Linked DNA regions of Macaca mulatta. The protein of the gene in region 3 interacts with the protein of the main gene of each other region in a biochemical or structural test. Links are inferred from orthologs where the notes say so. Each region holds a gene or a part of one and is shown on either strand. Other genes may lie near its edges.

Evidence for each region.
Region 1: the proteins of RARA (region 3) and NRIP1 form a complex in vitro, tested with the Homo sapiens proteins (4 studies listed by BioGRID). The link is inferred for Macaca mulatta from reciprocal best matches to the Homo sapiens genes RARA and NRIP1.
Region 2: the proteins of RARA (region 3) and TRIM24 form a complex in vitro, tested with the Homo sapiens proteins (3 studies listed by BioGRID). The link is inferred for Macaca mulatta from reciprocal best matches to the Homo sapiens genes RARA and TRIM24.
Region 4: the proteins of RARA (region 3) and NR0B2 form a complex in vitro, tested with the Homo sapiens proteins (2 studies listed by BioGRID). The link is inferred for Macaca mulatta from reciprocal best matches to the Homo sapiens genes RARA and NR0B2.
Region 5: the proteins of RARA (region 3) and NCOA6 form a complex in vitro, tested with the Homo sapiens proteins (3 studies listed by BioGRID). The link is inferred for Macaca mulatta from reciprocal best matches to the Homo sapiens genes RARA and NCOA6.

The regions. Positions count from the first base shown.
Region 1 is NC_133408.1:32,761,705-32,765,217, forward strand, and holds part of NRIP1 (nuclear receptor-interacting protein 1), read left to right. Parts: intron 1-3,045; 5' UTR 3,046-3,375; coding exon 3,376-3,513. UniProt on the Homo sapiens protein: Modulates transcriptional activation by steroid receptors such as NR3C1, NR3C2 and ESR1. Also modulates transcriptional repression by nuclear hormone receptors.
Region 2 is NC_133408.1:178,386,160-178,389,672, forward strand, and holds part of TRIM24 (transcription intermediary factor 1-alpha), read left to right. Parts: intron 1-2,011; coding exon 2,012-2,280; intron 2,281-3,513. UniProt on the Homo sapiens protein: Transcriptional coactivator that interacts with numerous nuclear receptors and coactivators and modulates the transcription of target genes.
Region 3 is NC_133421.1:64,701,019-64,705,331, forward strand, and holds the start of RARA (retinoic acid receptor alpha), read left to right. Parts: upstream 1-1,506; 5' UTR 1,507-1,789; exon of another isoform or gene 1,790-2,095; intron 2,096-4,313. UniProt on the Homo sapiens protein: Receptor for retinoic acid. Retinoic acid receptors bind as heterodimers to their target response elements in response to their ligands, all-trans or 9-cis retinoic acid, and regulate gene expression in various biological processes.
Region 4 is NC_133406.1:214,067,661-214,071,973, forward strand, and holds NR0B2 (nuclear receptor subfamily 0 group B member 2), read left to right. Parts: upstream 1-1,507; 5' UTR 1,508-1,568; coding exon 1,569-2,100; intron 2,101-3,422; coding exon 3,423-3,664; 3' UTR 3,665-4,020; downstream 4,021-4,313. UniProt on the Homo sapiens protein: Transcriptional regulator that acts as a negative regulator of receptor-dependent signaling pathways. Specifically inhibits transactivation of the nuclear receptor with which it interacts.
Region 5 is NC_133415.1:87,616,644-87,620,646, reverse strand, and holds the start of NCOA6 (nuclear receptor coactivator 6), read left to right. Parts: upstream 1-1,194; 5' UTR 1,195-1,374; intron 1,375-4,003. UniProt on the Homo sapiens protein: Nuclear receptor coactivator that directly binds nuclear receptors and stimulates the transcriptional activities in a hormone-dependent fashion. Coactivates expression in an agonist- and AF2-dependent manner.

The DNA.
Region 1 (3,513 bases), on a different chromosome or scaffold from region 3:
TAGGGATATTCTAGAAACCTAAAGGTGGACTTTCACCTTGCCTGGTTCTCTAGATGCTATGTATCACATCTCTTTTTAAAAATGAACATAATTCACCAATCCTAAGACAGATCAGATCTCGAAGCAGATTGGGAGTTCAGTAAGAATGTGTTGTATTGATCTAAATTAAATAAACAATTGAATATTTAGGATGACCTTTGCCTCGTCATTCCTTTAAGTGATGAGCTACAGTATGTGGTTTCAAATTTGTGGCTTGAATTATTTTAGTATCTCATCTATATATTTTTTGAGAGTGAGAGAATGTGTGTGTTTGAATGTCAAAATCTTTCCTTCCTACTGGGAATTTGGTCATTGAATAACTTCATGTATCCCAAGATTCAGTTATCTGTTGACTGTGTTGCACTGTACTAATTATGATTAGCACAGTACTCAGACCCAAGGAGCTTAATAAAATTATTTGTGTATGTCATTTTTGTTCTTGAAGTTAAAAATTTTCATATTTAAGAAATGATTATTTTCAACCTGAGAAAGCTGATTGCCAAAAAAGGATTATTAAGAGATGATTATTACTAATATCTGTCATCTACTTTCTCTGTGAAGATAGGAAATAAATGGTAGAGAGGTAAATAAATGGTAAAATACAGTGTTAGAGCTCCTTTGCAAAGAAACTATGGTAATTCTTTTTTAAATCAACTTCCAAATCTGCTTTGTAAATTCAGAAATGTGTAAATTCAGTCTTTTTAAAGCAATGAATAATACTTTGCAAATTATATTATACACAGTAAAAAGTAGAATAGCAATAACAGGAGTAATATGAACTCAAAGGTGCTCCTTACTTCATTCTTATTCTTAAATAAAGTATATTTTATGGCTGTTTACAAACCAGTTTTCAAATGGCTGATATGATTTTGACTTTCTTGACTCAACCCAAGAACAGAAAGGTTGGTAGTGGTATGGAGAGAAATACAGTAGATTTGCATATCCCATTAAATGGTTGTTAAATGTCTTAACTAGCTGAGAATTAATTGTTTATTAGCAGTTGTTATTTTTGTTTTTTGTTTGTTTGTTTTGAGATGGAGTATCATTCTGTCACCCAGGCTGGAGTGCAGTGGCGCAATCTCGGCTCACTGCAACATCTGCCTACCAGGTTCAAGCAATTTTCCTGCCCCAGCTTCCTGAGTAGCTGGGACTACAGGCGCATGCCACCATACCCAGCTAATTTTTGTATTTTTCCAGAGACGGGGTTTCACCACATTGGTCAGGCTGGTCTCAAACTCCTGACCTCAGGCAATCCACCCGCCTCGGCCTCCTGAATTGCTGGGATTACAGGTGTGAGCCACGGTACCCGGCCATGTTAAGTTTTTGAAGAGAATTAGAAAACTGTTTCCTCAACTCCAAGATGTTATCGTTGTAAAATGTGTCCTTACGTTTTATACCACTAAGAAAGAAAAATAAGCCTCCAGTTAAGCAACATGCCATCAATTGTAAGATATATACCAATGGGGAAAAAAAAAGTGCTGTTTAGCTGGGATATCTCCCTACTCCCTGAAAAGCAAGTCAGGGTTTTATTAGGAAAGGAAAACGGGAGAATGGATATTTGGTGGCAGTCGTCATCACCATTTCATCTCTATATCATTATTAACCTCTTAAAATATCCATCTTAAGTACATTATGGCAAAGCTTTTTAAAATGGTGGCACTGGAATCTCAAGAAGGTCTCTTCTCATCCTACTCCTTACACAAATTGAAATTAATTGTTGCTGCCTCCTTTCTATATCTTTTTCTTTGGCTATCATTTCATATCCTTTTAATCAATACATTCAACAATTTGATACAATCAGATAATTCTTTCCTAAAGTTTGATTTAGAGTTAAGCATTGTACTCAAAAAGCTACAGGGTAATCTTTCAATTAAAATTTATCTTTTCAGTTCCATAGGGACCAAGGTATTTGTGGATAGCTTCAGGTCTAATAACTTGAACAAAATGTTCTGGCATCTTGAAAAACAAAATTCTTGGAATTTATTCTAGCTTCTCTTCCAAAGGTGTACTGGCCCCATTCCTTAGGTCAATATTGACATTTATCTATCAAGTTTGCAGAAATGCAATGAGTTCTTGCTTCTTCTGTTGTGTATGTGTTAGTGATAGGAAATCGTTTGGTATCTTCTTAGATAATAAATACCATTGGAATGTTTTTCAAGCTGTGACTAAAATGTCTTTGGCATTTTCCATTGTACTTCTTGTATATGTTTATGCCTTCCCTGTCCTCTGTATCTCTAAGGAATGGACCTGACATTAAGATTTCTCCATAGAGCACATGAGGAAGGATTTACTAACAAACTACATTAAACCCTTGATAGCCCCAAACAAGCATCTAAAGAATCACTCTCCTCCATATGACTGTATTTTAATGTTTATGAATATGACTAAGATGGTCACACTTTGAACAGACTCACAAAATAATCTTCAACTTGTTAGTGGTTTCATTTTTTTGAAAACAGAAATTCTAAAAATTACTTATGGAATGTCTGGTGTTTGGGGGATGATGTCAGAAATGAATCTGTTCTGTTGGCCTCAGCCCCACATCAGACTCATCAGAGTCTGCATCTCTTTTCCTTTTTCTGCACATCTACTTTTGTTTCTTCCTAAGTGCTCAGTAATGTAAGGAAGCAGGTTCTAGTTCCCCTATAGAGCTATAAAGCTATACAGGAGACTTAATATTCACATTACTTTGCAGAAAGGTGCTTATGAAAATTCAGAGACTTGGCGGGCTTTGGAAGATGGTTATATAACATTAAAGTATGTTCTCTTCTCTAATGATTTGATCATTTTAACAGTATGGATTAACCCACAGGATTTCCAGTAGACATTTTCAATGGAATAGGAATGGCAATAAAACAAATTACTAACGTGACTGTAGTCCATATATATGTCTATTATTTATATGTAATATACATATACACTTAGAAATGCTATGTTATTTTGCTTGTAGGTATAACATGATTCTAGTTCTGCCTCCTGAACTATTCTTATTTTTATTTTTTTTAGAACACTGATACTTGCATTTAATGGGGAACAAACGATGAAGAAGGAAAAGGAATATATTCACTAAGGATTCTATCTGCGTACTGCTACAGACCTGTGTTTTAAGGAATTCTCCTTCTTCTTGCATAGAAGTTGATCAGCTCTGTGGTCAGACTCATTTATCTTGTCATTGCCAGAAGAAATCCTGGACAGAATGTAACAGTACGTCTCTCTCTGATTGCTATGGAAGGTGATAAACTGATACTCACTTATTAAAGTTACGTCTCACTCACCACAGAAAACCATTCTTTAAAGTGAATAGAAACCAAGCCCTTGTGAACACTTCTATTGAACATGACTCATGGAGAAGAGCTTGGCTCTGATGTGCACCAGGATTCTATTGTTTTAACTTACCTAGAAGGATTACTAATGCATCAGGCAGCAGGGGGATCAGGTACTGCCGTCGACAAAAAGTCTGCTGGGAATAATGAA
Region 2 (3,513 bases), on a different chromosome or scaffold from region 3:
GGGAAGAACAAAAAGATTTATCCTGGAAGCAAAGGTGATAAGGAGACCCCTGCAGACTAGTTTAGATACAAACATATGTATATTGATACATAGCAGGAAACTGGAATTATACACACTCATTTTACCAAAAAGAAGCATCTTTAGAATACAAAACATGTGTATAAGTAACTCTTATTGCCACACCTGACTCCACCACTACACATTCATCTGTACTCAGAACCCATCACAAGATATAAATCCAAACAAGTGGTCATATGTGTTATGTACTTATATCACAATAGGTAAATACACCCACATATAGACATCAGTATGTTTAAGAATTATATTCAAAACTGTACACACATAAATGGATATAGTTTCAGATAAATCTACTTTAGCCAAAACAAAAACAGGATCTCCTAGTCTAATAGTTTGTGAAACCAGTATAAGGAAGTTAAACAATATATTTTACTGTAGAATTTCTCAGAGCTGTCACTTACAGCACTGTAAATTTATAAACAGTGAGATTTACATTGTAAATCTCTAAAGAAGGAGACAAGTTTCCTAAACTTGTTACCCATGGCTTCTGAGAAACGTATAAGAACACTAGGGAAAAATATTGGTCTAGGTGAATATTTTGTTACTGTCTTGAGTGACTTTGGATAAGTTTTACAACCTCTCTAAACCTTAGATCCCTTATGTGTAAAAGAGAATGTTATTGTTTCTTTTAAACATATGCATACACCTACCTGTAGTAGTGAATTACACACAGTAAACATTTAATGAATAACTATATATTTTTAGAATGCATATGAGTAATCATAAACATTTGAGTTTCTACTGTTGAAATCAAGCTTGAATCAGACCTTTCAAAGGCACCATTAAACTCTTAAAACTAGTTTTAAGCTGGTCAATGTATTCTGTATCAAAAAGTTAACATAGTATGCATTGTAAAGGTATAGGAAACTTGAGAGATCACAACTTGTTAATAGTAAATATTCAGAAATACTTTTTGGGATTGTTTTTAGAGCCAATGTCAGGTTTGCTTGTTTTGATATATGACAGCAGTTCTCAGAGTATAGTCTGGTACTCTATCAGGGGACCACAAAGGTCACCCTTTTCCAACTACACGTCTGGATGAATGTTGTGCCAGACCCCTATTCACTTCAGTAGGGATAGGACCATGTTTGAGAGGCCCAAGAAGAGAGGCCCAAGAAGAGACCTGGAGCTAGTGAATGAGACACAGGGCTTATTGAGGGAACTTACATACAGGACAGTCCAGTGGCAGTGGGCTGGACAAGAGAACCACCAGCAAGTAGTTAATATAGCACTTAGCACCCTCCCGCTAGCAACCTCCATGTGGCAACCTTCATTTAACACAAAGCACAAGTCCTCCATCCCCGATATGGCCTGGATTCCACAGGCTGGCCTGGGAGTTCAGATATTCTTCACTGATAAAGAATGGATCTCTGGGTTGGCCACTCCTGGGTTCCTTAGCGCGGAACTCCAAACACACATTCTCCTTAGGCTATACAGGGTCACTCTCAGGGTAGACTTAAGTTATTGCTGTCAGGTGCTGTCTGCCATACAGTAAGACTGAAATTTTTTTCATATATTTTAACTTAACAATATATTATGATAGATAGTGCAGAAACAGATAATGAGATTTCAGCTATTAAGCCAGACATTCAAAGAGATTTTTTAAAACATCAAACAGTATTTTAAAATATCAAAAATGTTTACCAAATTTTTTACAACGTAGTTTTATAAAAACATGTTGTTATGGTTTTATTATTCTTAAATGAATTAGTTTTAAAAATTATTTTTAATTTCTAATATTATAAATTTTGATGACTAGAACTTAGATGAACAAAAGCTGTTTGGGGGTCCTCTGTCTTTCAGAGTGTAAAAGGGCTCATGAGACCAGGAATTCCTTGGCAATTTTGAAGTTCTGCAAAAATAGTCTTAGAAAATGTGATACTTCACCAACTATCTGAAAAACTTTTTCCCTTAACCTTTTCTTTTTAATTAGGTTCTTTAGTAATTGAGGATAAAGAGAGCCAGCCACAAATGCCTAAGCAGAATCCTGTCGTGGAACAGAATTCACAGCCACCAAGTGGTTTATCATCAAACCAGTTATCCAAGTTCCCAACACAGATCAGCCTAGCTCAATTACGGCTCCAGCATATGCAGCAACAGGTAATGGCTCAGAGGCAACAGGTGCAACGGAGGCCAGCACCTGTGGGTTTACCAAACCCTAGAATGCAGGGGCCCATCCAGCAACCTTCCATCTCTCATCAGGTAAATTTGGAAGCAGGCCTGTCCTCACTTAGATAATTATAGTATAATTGTGTTGAGCAGCTCAAAATGACAAAGACATCCATTTTCCATAATCTAAATATCTGCATTTATAAAAATTTATCACATTAAGGATCCCTGATTTAATGCCTAGTTTTTAATCCCTACTTAAAAAGGATTTAATGGTTTGTTTAGCTGATAAATCTATTTTCATCTACTCTTCATTGTCTTTAAATTATAGCAGAGGATAAATGTTTGTATTCCTAAATAACCCAGGCCTGTAATTGATGGGAAAAGTTGTGTACCTGTTAATTCCTATACTGGTGCTTCAGAATGATGAATACATTAAGAATCTGTCCTCTGTGAGGATGTGGTGTTTAGTAAACCACATTGCATCTTAGAAACTAGGGCAGAGTGAAATACAAAAGGGCAGAAGTGTGGTTCATTATAATATACCTTTTTCAAACTCTATTTCTGAGCAAATATACTGTTTACCATTCTTATTTTTACTGTAATCCAATTTTTTTTTTTTTTTTTTGAGATGTAGTCTCACTCTGTAACTCAGGCTGGAGTGCAGTGGCACGATCTCAGCTCACTGCAACGTCTGCCTCCCAGGTTGAAGCGATTCTCATGCCTCAGCCTCCCGAGTAGCTGGGATTACAAGTGTGCGCCACCACGCCCGGCTAATTTTTGTATTTTTAGTAGAGACAGGGTTTCACCATGTTGGCCAGGTTGGTCCCAAACTCCTGACCTCAGGTGATCCCGCCTCAGCCTCCCAAAGTGCTGGGATTACAGGTGTGAGCCACTGTGCCCAGCCTCAGTCCAACTTTTGAAGATAAAATATATATACTTTTGTTAAATAGTTTAACTCTGCTTTTCAGGTTAGATGTGGGCAGACTTATTTTAATAAAAGTTTAGTAAGGAATATAAAGTCTAATTTATATAAACTGTTGTTTTCAGTTACATTTACTTACACTTTTTTTTATATATATAGACAGAGTTTTACTCTTGTTGCTTAGGTTGGAGTGCAATGGTGCCATCTCGGCTCAGCACAACCTCTGCCTCTCCTGGGTTGAAGCAATTTTCCTGCCTCAGCCTCCCGAGTAGCTGAGATTACAGGCATGTGCCACCATGCCGGCTAATTTTGTATTTTTAGTAGAGACGGGGTTTCTTCATGTTGGTCAGGTTGGTCTCGAACTCCGACCTCAGGTGATCCTCGCACCTCGGCCTCCCAAA
Region 3 (4,313 bases):
GCTCCCTGCTGTTGTCGGGGCTCAGGCTGGAAGGCCCTTGGGGGAGCGCGGCTGGGGGGTAAGGGGTTAAGCGGTGGCGTCCACATCTGGGAGCCATTGGCGCATTCCTGCCGGCTGAGCGCATGTTTGCGGATGAATCTGGACAGGACAGGGCGGGAGGGGCTGGGCGGGAGGTTCGCACCGGCAGACGGAAATCCAGACGGGAGCGGGAGACAGCTCCGGCCCAGCGGGCGGGAAGGGGCCTGGGGAAGCGCGGCCCAGCACTGCTGGGGCAGTTTCCCGTGCGCCGGCCCTCAGGGCAGAGCGTCCCGCCATCCTGGCTTGTCCTACCTTACCACGGCTCTTGGGCTAAAGCCAGGGACAATCAGATACTTCAGTTCTAGACCCGGCTCTGCAACTGGTGCGACCGTAGACAAAACCCAGTGCCTGCTCTTGGCCTCTCTTTCCTCTGTAAAGCGGCGGCCGCCGTCGGACCAGTGGGTCTGAGAGCTCTGCCACCGAGTCAGGCTGAGAGTCTCCTCACTGGGCTGGAGGCCTGGGAGTGCAGCACTTCCGCTTCCAGTGGGAAGTTCTGTGGGGGCACTCGTGGCCACTTCTCTGCCTGGGAACAGGGCGAGAGGGGAGTATTCCCTAAGCGATTCTGCTTCCCCCTAAGCTCGCCAGTGGACTGCTAGCGATGGGGACAGGATCCTCCCAAACAGAGCAGCAGGCTGGGAGCGGGGTCATGACTGTGTTGGGGACTGGGGTCTCTCAGATGGAGGGTGATTCAGATCCTGTCCAGTTGGAATATGAACAAGAGCTTTCCTGGCTTCTCCAGACTTGTTCGGGAGAGAGAAGCTTGAGTCTGAGTCTTTGAGCACGGAGGGGTGCTCCTGGGCGCCCCTACTGGAAGATCCAAAAGTCTTGCCCTTTGAGAAGAGTACTTTAAGGGGGTTGGGGGGTTGCGGGGTTGGGTTGAGCCAGAGTTCCTAGGACCCACTGGAGCTGGAAAGGTGTTTGGGGAAAGAAGAGATGTACTTGCGGGAGATCTACTCCTGGACTCTTTTTTTTTTACTTCTTGCAGCTGAGATACTTAAGATCCAGGGAAGGGAAGTGACTTGGTCAAGGTCACACAGCTCTCAGTTCCAGCTGGTCCCTGGAAGAGGATTATAATTATAGGATTCAAGGGCTTGACAGCTAGGGCAGGAGTCACCGCACTCACTTCCATGTTACGCCGCCGCCTCACTTCTCGGGTTTAGGTGTGGGTGTGTGTGTGGTTGGGGGGAAAGGAGTGTAGGATACCACACGCTGCGGTCTTCTCCACCGAGCGCTATTTTCATTCTTTCCGCAGAACCTCACCCCCCCTGTCGCTCTGAATCTTCGGTTCTGGGTCTGAGGGAGGGATTCTCCCGGATTCCCACGGTCTAGTCTTCAGCTAGGAGCGGCTCCTTTAAGACTCGCCCTTCTCGGGGTCTATTAAGGAGAGGCGGGGGCGGGCGTGAGTCTGTAGATCCGCCCCTGACTGATGATTGGTCGGTGGGCGAGCAGGGGCGGGCCTGAGGGAGAAGGCCTCCCCCCACCTCTGCTCCGTACCCTCCGCCCCTTCAGTCTGGGGCTCCGGGTAAAGTTTCAGCCTCCGCACGTGACTCGCTATGGCCGCTGCCGTCGCCCCGCGCCCCTGAGCCGCGGCCCCCCGGACGGCTCCTCTCCCGGGACCCCGCACCCTGATGCCGAGCAGCACCAGGGCGCCGGGTTAGGGCAGACGCTGTGCTCGCGGGCACCCCGAACGGGTTGCGTCCCCGGCTGCGAGGTAACTCCTCCCCCGGGGATTTTGGGGAGCCCCTGGTTCCCACAGGCGTCGGGGCCCCATGTCCTGCCCCAGATTGGCGCTGCGGGAGGGGACTGGGTGCCGGGAGGCTTCCGACGGAACCCGGGGTTTCCTGGGCTTCCCAACTCGCTGCCGCCGTGTCCAGGGTGGGGGAGCCCCGTCTGTGCGTCTGCCTGCGCCGTGTCTTCGCGCGCAGCCTTGAGGTGTCTGTGGCCGTCTGCTGCGCGTGTCCCCCGCGCTCAAGCTGTTGCAGAACCACCGCTGGGAACTCCTGTTCTCTCTTTTTCTCTTTAAAAACAAGCAAAACAAAAAGGCTTTCAAACCTGTTTGGGGAGAGATCGGATGCTCAACGGACTAGCCCCCTCTCTTTTTCCCTCCTGTTATCTGAGCTGCCCTGTGGTTTGGGGAGAATCAGCCAGGGGGCCCACTCCCACCAGAGGGAGCCGGCCGGGGGCGGGGCCCGCTCAGCTGGTGTCCCCCGTGGAGTGAGGGGAACTCACTCAGAATTGGGTGCAGGAGCCAGTGCAGTATGTATGTAGGGGTGTTCCTGGGTCTTGTACCACCATGGGGTGTGGGAGCTTTTTGGGGTGAGGGAAAGACGGAATAGACTGGTGGACTTTGCTCTGCTGAGGGTGTCTGGGACCTGGTGCCACCCACGAGGCTTGGAAGCTGCTGGCCAGATGTGTGTGTGAGCCTGTTGTGGGGTTGGGGGGGCGGCTGGGATATGAGCTTGGCTATGTCCCCTCATCTTCTCTCTGGGCACTGCCCTATTGTCAGGCTGCTCCTTGCGAAGGACAGGCCTCCAATGTGTTAGGGTGGGGATGGGGACCAACTAATCCGGAAACCAGACAGAAGAGCTCCCCAGCCTTGGAGATGCTTCCGCACCCTCCATCCTGTCTTGGATCGGATGCCCAGTGTGATGGCCTGGAAGGGTACCTCCTGCCCCCTCTGGCTCTGTCTTCTGTAACCAGGTTGCCTTCTGTCTGATGGCTGTGTGCACATATGTGTATGTATATATTCTTGGAAAGGATTGTTTCTGAGAACACCGCCCAACTCCCCACGCCCTGCTGCTTACCCCAAGGATCACTTCTGCCCTTGACACTCCCTCTCCTCACTTTCCTGGCCAGGACATTCTGGGATGTCTCTTATACCCTTCCCTGTCTGCAGTCTTCATAGGGCAAGATTGTTTTGGGGAAGTGGTTCTGTAAGGACCTTCCAGGTCTTGCTAGGAAATTGGACCTCAGGCCCCAAACTCTCCTACAGGGCTCGATGAGGAGGCTGTGCCGGGGAAGCCCCAGGTTGGAGTGGGGGTGGCTTGGAGCCTTGGGGCTTCCCCTGGAGTGGGCCGAGGGGGGGGGCGGGTGGAGATGAGGCTAGGGGGGAGGAACAAGAGAAAAAATATTTGGAGTTGGTTGTATGATGCTTCTTCCTGGAGGAAGAAGAGGGGGTGGTTGTGGAGTCTGGGAGTTTGTGGCTGTGAAAGATGGTATGCTAGGAGGAGCTGGGACATCAGTACTGCCTGGGAGTCTGGACCATGTGGTTTCCTGAAAGAGAGGTCAGGAGGGTCAGACTGGAGTAGCCTCTTGGGAGCTGAGGATCTTGGATTTGCAAGGATTTTGAGGGTATGAGTGAGTGTACATGAGGTGTCACTGCAGGGGTTTCACCATCAGACTGACAACGGTGGCACAGATGCAGTGGCAGTTCTGAGAAGATCCTGGGCTTGGAATGGCTTAATCCTGGCCACCTCCTCCTTCCTATAGCCCCTAAATCTCTAGCCCTTCAGTCTGACCCTAAATGCCCCAGCTGCCACCCTGGGACTCCTTTTTAGTCCCCTTCCTACTCCCAACCTTGAGGCAGCCTGGCAGGAAGCCAGCTGTGGGCAGCCCCATCCTGATCGCCCATGTGCCTCCCCCGCTGGGCATAGTCACCCACATGTGCCATGACGTGGTTCCTGCCACCCCATCTAAGTATGGGGGAGAGGACATTGTCGGAGTGGCCCCTCAGTTCTGTTTTGGGGACATTCACCCAGACCCCAGCTAATGAGCACCCCTTCCCCTAAACCATTTAGTCTTGGAAGCTGACTCTTGCCCTCTGGGACCTTTCCTCCCAGGCCACTCCTTGCTCAGACTCCAGTCTCAGGTGGGATGGTCCTCAGAACTGTGTGATGTGAGGGTGGGGCCTGTCCCAAAATACAAACCCCAATGCCCAGTTTCCAGTCCTCTTGGAAGCATGAGCCGGATAGGACTTAGGCTGGGCTGGAGGGGTGGGTGTGTTTTGGCCTCTGTGGGGTCTATTAATATTTGGGAGCACTGCCTGCGATCTGGGGTGATAGGCATCTGGGGATGGTAATCCTGTCCCTACGACAAATAAGCGGGGTAATCTCCGCTTGCTCAGTAGCCACCCCCATCTTGTGTTGGTAGTTTTGGGAGTGTGGGAAGCTGGCAGGGCCCCTGGCAAGATGACCAGGATTGTCTTGACTTACTGGGTTTTGGGAAAGGAGTATGGC
Region 4 (4,313 bases), on a different chromosome or scaffold from region 3:
GAGTCAGGCAAGATCTGGGCTTGGTCTTCCTGGTGGGATGACCTTGGGCAAGTCACTTTAACTTTTTTAGTCTCACAAAGTAAGAATCTAGCCTTAGAAGGAGGCTGCCAATATTAGAGTGGGAAGTGCCTGACACATAACAGGTGCTCAGAGAATGGCAACCATATATATATATATACACACACACACACACACACACACACACACATTTTTTTTTGAGACAGGGTCTTGCTCTGTTGCCCAGGCTGGAGTACAGTGGCATGATCTCAGCTCACTGCAACCTCTGCCTCCCAGTTTCAAGTGATTCTTTTGCCTCAGCCTCTAGGGTAGCTGGGACTACAGGCACATGCCACCATGCCCGGCTAATTTTTGTATTTTTAGTAGAGACAGGATTTTGCCATGTTGGCCAGGCTGGTCTTGAACTCCTGACCTCAAATGATCCCCCTTCCTCGGCCTCCCAAAGTGCTGGGATTACAGGCATGAGCCACCATGCCCAGCTGGCAACTATCTTTTATTATAACTCTGTGAGTTCTTCTCAGCAGAACTGGACTTTCAGGAGTGGTAGGAATCAGGCAGGGAAAGGCCGGGCGCGGTGGCTCAAGCCTGTAATCCCAGCACTTTGGGAGGCCGAGACGGGCGGATCACGAGGTCAGGAGATCGAGACCATCCTGGCTAACACGGTGAAACCCCGTCTCTACTAAAAAAAAGTACAAAAACTAGCCGGGCGAGGTGGCGGGCGCCTGTAGTCCCAGCTACTCGGGAGGCTGAGGCAGGAGAATGGCGTAAACCCGGGAGGTGGAGCTTGCAGTGAGCTGAGATCCGGCCACTGCACTCCAGCCTGGGCGACAGAGCAGACTCCGTCTCAAAAAAAAAAAAAAAAAAAAAAAGGAATCAGGCAGGGGATAGGGATTCTGAAGGACCTTATTCCTGCAGGGGGCCCAGAACTGAAACCAGAGGAAGGGGGCCTCCGAGACTGGACAGCGGGCAAAGTCCTCCCAGCCCCCCCAGGGTCCTGGCTCCCTTCCCTGTAGCCTGCTCCTGGCCGACAACAGAAGCAGGGCCCCAAGGTTAGGCAAACAAGCTAGTGATAAGGCACTTCCAGGTCGGGCCTTGCATTCAAGGCCCACCCAGCTCTGGGGCTGACTTCCTGGCTTAGCGAAAGCGCTAGTCTTTTGTGCACACAAGAGCAGGCACCAATGGGGACACCTGCTGATTGTGCACCTGGGGCCTTGGTGCCCTGGTACAACCTGGGTTAATGACCTTGTTTATCCACTTGAGTCATCCGATAAGGGGCAGCTGAGTGAGCGGCAGGTGGCCCTGTGCCCTGCACCGGCCACTTCATTGACTGAAGTGATATCAGTGCCACGTGGGGTTCCCAATGCCCCCTCCCCCACCACTTCCCCACCATTCCTGCCAGGGGCAGTGTCTGTGTGTTTTTTTCAATGAACATGACTTCTGGAGTCAAGGTTGTCGGGCCATTCCCCCCCTTCCACTCACTGGGAATATAAATAGCACCCACGGCGCAGAACAGAGGGCCAGAGAGCTGGAAGTAAGGGCAGATCCCAACCATGAGCACCAGCCAACCAGGGGCCTGCCCATGCCAGGGAGCTGCAAGCCGCCCAGCCATTCTCTACGCACTTCTGAGCTCCAGCCTCAGGGCTGTCCCCCGACCCCGTAGCCGCTGCCTATGTAGGCAGCACCGGCCCGTCCAGCTATGTGCACCTCATCGCACCTGCCGGGAGGCCTTGGATGTTCTGGCCAAGACAGTGGCCTTCCTCAGGAACCTGCCATCCTTCTGGCAGCTGCCTCCCCAGGACCAGCGGCGGCTGCTGCAGGGTTGCTGGGGCCCCCTCTTCCTGCTTGGGTTGGCCCAAGATGCTGTGACCTTTGAAGTGGCTGAGGCCCCGGTGCCCAGCATACTCAAGAAGATTCTACTGGAGGAGCCCAGCAGCAGTGGAGGCAGTGGCCAGCCGCCAGACAGACCCCAGCCCTCCCTGGCTGCAGTGCAGTGGCTTCAGTGCTGTCTGGAGTCCTTCTGGGGCCTGGAGCTGAGCCCCAAGGAATATGCCTGCCTGAAAGGGACCATCCTCTTCAACCCTGGTGAGCTCCCAGACACTCCTGGGTAGGGGGCAAGGCTGAAGCAGGAGCCAGCCAGGGAAGGTAACTTCTAAGGGTTTGATATCTGTAATCTCATGGGGTCCACATTTTCTTTTTTTTTTTTTTTCTGAGACAGAGTCTCACTCTGTCACCTACTCTGGAGCGCAATGGCGCGATCTTGGCTCACTGCAACCTCTGCCTCCTGGGTTCAAGCAATTTTCCCTGCCTCAGCCTCCCAAGTAGCTGGGATTACAGGTGCCCGCCACCACTCCCGGCTAATTTTTGTATTTTTTAGTAGAGACGGGGTTTCGCCATGTTGGTCAAGCTGGTCTTGAACTCCTGATCCCTCTGGTGATCCACCCACCTTGGCCTCCCAAAGTGCTGGATTACAGGCGTGAGCCACTGTGCTTGGCCGGTTCCTCATTTTCATCAAATAGCCATCTCACAGAAGAGGTACAGAGAAGCTAAGTGACGAGCTAAAGGTAACACAGCCAGGTAGGGACAGACCAGGATGGCAACTCAGGTCTATTCACTCCAGAGACTGGCCCTTGCCACTCTGCCTGAGAAATTTGCTCTGACCTTTAGAGAAGGCTGCGGGGGAGGTGGGGTGGGCAGACACAGCTGTGTCTCAGTCACATCTTCAAAGGAAGGCTGCATGGTGAAGCTCTAGAGCTGAAACTCCTCTGTGGGTTCAGAAAGATCACTTAGAAGAGAGAACTGAAAGGGGTGTAGGGAGGACAGGAAGGGAGTCTTTGTGGAATTTGGCCAGGAGAGTGGCAGATGAGACAGTGCTCTTTGTAATCTGGAGAGCATCTGAGATGAGCGTTCCCCAGGAGTCCCTGTGGCACGCATAAATCGTAGTAGTTAATTGCAATAATAGTAGCAAATACTCATATCACACTTACCATATGTTAGGCCCTATTCTAAGGGTTTTACATATACTAGTTCATTTAAATCTCATAAAAACCTAGGAGACAGGTCCTATTAATATTATTATCCTCGTTTTACAAATAAAGAAACTGAAGCCCAGAGATTAAGTTACTTGCCCAAGGTCACCCAGCTAAGTGACAGTACTGGGATTCATACTCAGGAAACCTGATTCTTAACCATTACTCCATACTGCCTCTTCATAAATGGATGGATGAATACAATGGAAATTGATAAATAAATTACCTCCTCCAAAGGAGGAGGTAGTAGTGGGACCTCAAAGGCCGAGCAAAGGAGGCAGAGGGGTGTCTCTGATGGCCCAGATCTTGGGCCAGTCTCTTCCTTTGGTGGCTGGGAGTAGGATGCTCACCAACCCTCTTCTCCCTCTCTGCCCACAGATGTGCCAGGCCTCCAAGCCGCCTCCCACATTGGGCACCTGCAGCAGGAGGCTCACTGGGCGCTGTGTGAAGTCCTGGAGCCCTGGTGCCCAGCAGCCCAAGGCCGCCTGGCCCGTGTCCTCCTCACAGCCTCCACCCTCAAGTCCATTCCGACCAGCCTGCTTGGGGACCTCTTTTTTCGCCCTATCATTGGAGATGTTGACATCGCTGGCCTTCTTGGGGACATGCTCTTGCTGAGGTGACCAGCTGCAGCCCAGGCAGAGATCAGGTGGGCAGAGGCTGGCAGTGCTGATTCAGCCTGGCCATCCCCAGAGGTGACCCAATGCTCCCGGAGGGGGCAAGGCTGTATAGACAGCACTTGGCTCCTTAGGAACAGCCCTTCACTCAGCCACACCCCACATTGGACTTCCTTGGTTTGGACACAGTGCTCCAGCTGCCTGGAAGGCTCTTGGTGGTCCCCACAGCCTCTGGGCCAAGACTCCTGTCCCTTGTTGGGATGGGAATGAAAGCTTAAGCTGCTCATTGGACCAGAAGTCCTACTGACTTTATACAGAACTGAATTAAGTTATTGATTTTTGTAATAAAAGGTATGAAACACTTGGAGCCTGATACTGTTGTTTGTGCATATAGAAGGGACTGTCTCACCTCCAGGGCCCACCCTGCTCCTATCAGAGGTAGCCCAAGGGAAAAAATCCACAGGGTTGCTGGAACTAATTTTCCAGGGAACAGTATCAGTTCACAATCCCATCACCTCATTGCCTTTATCCTCAGGGGAAGGAGGTTGCTCTCCTGTTCCCAAACCCTTCACTAACCACTCTCCTGGCTCCTACCCACTTCATGCGCCCTCTCACCACAGTTAAAGCCCAATCACAGCCAATCAGGAAGCAGTCC
Region 5 (4,003 bases), on a different chromosome or scaffold from region 3:
AAAACACAAAAACCACACACACACAATTTAGCTGTACATTTTAAAATAACTAGAGTGTAATTGGGTTGTTTGTAACACAAAGGATAAATGCTTGAGGTGCTAGATACCCCATTTACCATGATGTGATTATTACATGATGTATGCCTGTATCAAAATCTCATGTACCCCATAAATATATTCACCTACTACGTACTTACAAAAATTTAAAAAATACATCAGTGTAGTGTGGGAAAAAAGAAAACAAAAACAAAAATTTTTTTTTTTTTTTTTGAGACGCGGTCTCGCTCTGTCGCCCAGGCTGGAGTGCAGTGGCTGGATCTCAGCTCACTGCAAGCTCCGCCTCCCGGGTTTACGCCATTCTCCTGCCACAGCCTCCCGAGTAGCTGGGACTACAGGCGCCCGCCACCACGCCCGGCTAGTTTTTTGTATTTTTTAGTAGAGACGGGGTTTCACCGTGTTAGCCAGGATGGTCCCGATCTCCTGACCTCGTGATCCGCCCGTCTCGGCCTCCCAAAGTGCTGGGATTACAGGCTTGAGCCACCGCGCCCGGCCCAAAAAATTTTAAAAAAAGAGTGAAAGCCAGATATGAATCCAGGCCTGTATGAAGACGTCAAGGCCAGTGCTGAGGAGGCCTTTCTACATTTGGGAAGTGGGGAGGGGCCACACTCGTTCGATCAATAATTCTATTTCCTGAGCATTTTAGCTTGCTAGGGAGGTAATGATGGGAAAAAGAAGAGAGGGATTTAGAGGCAAATAATAGTGAAAGCTTTTATCTATATTCCATGAAGCTTATTATTAGACACTATGTGTCAGGCACGGTGACAAGTGCCTTCCATGCCTACCTCCATTTCCTCCTCACAAGAACTATGATTTTCCCCATATTTCAGATGGGTAAACTGAGGTTTGGAGTTGCCATTTCCAAGGATACTCAGTGCGCTCGCAAAAGGCTGTTCGGTGTGTGTTTCCCCAGCGGGACTCACTGGCGAGAGAATAGCACTGGGAAGCCGACAGAGACCCACGAGATCCCAGCACTAAGCACACAGCACCCAAGCGAGCTGGCGCGCACTCCACCTCGCGCTCCCGGGGACGTCTGGTCACGTGGGCAATGCCCCGCCCCTCGAGTCCGCCCCGCCCCCTCTGGCGCTCCCTCCCTCTTTCCCTCCCTCCCCCTCCCTCCCCGGCCCGGTCCGGCCCATCCCCCTCCCCGCCGGCTCCGTGAGGCCCTGCCGGGTCGGGCTGCGGGCGGCCGGGCGCGGGTGGCCGGACAGACGGGCGCACGCGAGGACTGACGGACGGACGCACGGAGGGCGGCGGGCACGCACGGCCGGGGCTGGCGCTCCAAGGCCCGCCCGGGAGGGCTGGGGCCGCGCTCAGGTGAGACGACGGCGGCGCGGGCCCGTAAGGGGTGGGCCCGCCGGGTGTCCGCGGTCCTTGTCGGGCTGGCTTCGCGGGGAGGAGGCGCCGCCCGGGCCCGGCGCGGGAAAATGGCGCCGGGCGACCGAGTGGCACGGTCTGAGTGCGGGCCCGGCCCGGAGCCGCCCCGCCCGCCGCGCTTGTGTCCCCGTCGCCATGTTGGGGAGCGGGCCCCAGGCCTGCGGGCGGGGGCGCTGGAGGGAGCGGCGGCCCGGCGGGGTGGGGAGGGTGCTGGGCGCTGGGGCCGGCGCACTGAGGGAGTGCAGGGCTGGCCGGGGTCTGCACGGGGTGGCGCTCCAGGCCCGGGGAACAGGCGGGAGCCAGTAGTGGGGTCGTGGTCAGGGTCGTGGAGAAGGAACACTGGATCCGAAAGGAACCAGGATTGGGGTCCATGGGCTGAGAGGATGGCAGGACGTGGAACTGGGTTAGGCCTTAGGCGGGCTTAGGGCACTAGTGCAGGTAGAACCTGGTGATTGGGGTGGAGGCATGGGGGCCAAGCTTAGGCTGTCAGGGCTGGAGCAGTTCTTTGCGGGGAGGGAAGGAGGTGATGGATGAGGAATGAGGGCCCTTTGGGTACAGACGCTGGTATCAGATTGGGGCAGTCCTTGGGGTACTGGGGCTGATTTGCAAAGCTGTATAACTCCCAAGGCTCTGAAGACTTACGTTCCAAGCATCCTCCACCCCCTATTGGGGGAAGCAACAGGAAAAAGGAGGTGTTTGATGAGAGAAAAGGGGGACAGAAGGGGACTGAGGTTTGGGTGCAGGAGCTGACCGGCAAAAGAGGCACAGAGAGTGGAACTGGTTGGCAAGAAAGGAAAGAACCTTTATCAACTTAGGGAATTGTGTGTGTCTTTAAAAGGAGGGACCCGGCTGTTTGGGGGCGGTGACCCAAGGTGTCTTCCCTGGAAGGGGACAGCCCACAGCTTAAGAGCAGGGTCACCTGGAGAGGTCATCCGAAAGGCGTTATTGAAGCCAGTAAAATGGTGAAGAAGAGTGAATGTATAAAAACTACAAAGGCCTGAGAGATCAAGTAAAGATTTCAAATCAGGTAGTGATTTTAGCTGAAACAGAAAGGTAAAGTTGACTTTTCAAGATCTTACAAGTTAGTAGCAGAGGGTCTACTGGAAATGGTCAGCTGCCTGCTCACTAAACACATTGCCTTAAAGGAGTTTGCTAGCTGGGAGAAAGGTGTTAAGAAATGAACCATAACATTCTTGTGATGAAACTAAAAGCAAACAAACAAAAACAATAAGAAGTGAAGCGTAACAGTATATACCAGATAACTATTAAATTTGTTTTGTTCCTTTAATGACTTTGGCAATACAAAGGCTGAAGGGAATACAAAAGAGGGTAGGCAGCCAGTTTTTTGGTATTTCCTGGCTCATCTCTAATTGTGCAAAGAAGTTGTCTTTGAGACCTTCTAACTTTGTAGAGTTTTAAGAGATGCTCCGGCAAGCCATAGTGGCTCATGCCTGTAATTCCAGCACTTTGGGAGGCCAAGGCGGGAGGATTGCTTGAGCCCAGGAGCTGGGAGACCCCATCTCTACAAAAAAATAAAAAAAATTAGCCACCTGATGTGGCTTGTACTTTTAGTCCCAGCCACTCAGGAGGCTGAGGTGGAAGGATCGCTTGAGCCTGGGAGGCCAAGGCTGCAATGAGCCGTGCTGTGATCGTTCCATGATATTCCAGCCTGGATTACAGAGTAAGACACTGTCTAAAAAAAAAAAAAAGAAAAAAGAAATACTTCTTCTCTTCTAGGTGTTTACCACAAAGGGACACAAAATCCTAAAAAAGAAAAGTGAAAAATTGTAAAGACCCAGAGTGTCTATTTTGTTAATTGAAGTTGGATCATGTTAGAGAAGAATTCAAAGTTCGCATGGGCTATGGGAGAGTTCTGAAGGAAATATGCAAACTAGTCATGGAAAATAGGTCCAGGGCCCCATATAATCAAAGAGAATTAATGAACAGAAAGGTTATGAGGGCAAATATAAAATAAGATTGTCAATACCATATGTATATACTGCAACACAATTCATTTGTTCTGGGTTTTTCTTTTCTTTTTTTTTTTTAATTTTTGGAGATGGGATTTCAACATGTTGCCCAGGCTGGTCTTGAGCTCCTGAGCTCAAGTGATCTGCCCACCTCGGCCTCCCAAAATGCTGGGATTACAGGCATGAGCCACCTGGGTTTTTCTAATGAAGGAAGACCTCACCTTATCTGTGCCATGGACCCCTTTCAGAATAATATTTTTTAGTTGTATAAAATAAAGTACATTGAATTATAAGGAACACCAATTATATGGAAATATAGTTTCCAACATATACAAATCTAATATTCATATACTTGTTTTATTTTTTTTATTTTTTTTATTTTTATTTTTATTTTTTTTTTTTTGAGACAGAGTCTCGCTTAGTCGCCCAGGCTGGAGTGCAATGGCGCAATCTCGGCTCACTGCAAGCTCCGCCTCCCGGGTTCACGCCATTCTCCTGCCTCAGCCTCCCGAGTAGCTGGGACTACAGGCGCCCGCCGCCTCGCCCGGCTAATTTTTTGCATTTTTAGTAGAGACGAGGTTTCACCGTGTTAGCCAGGA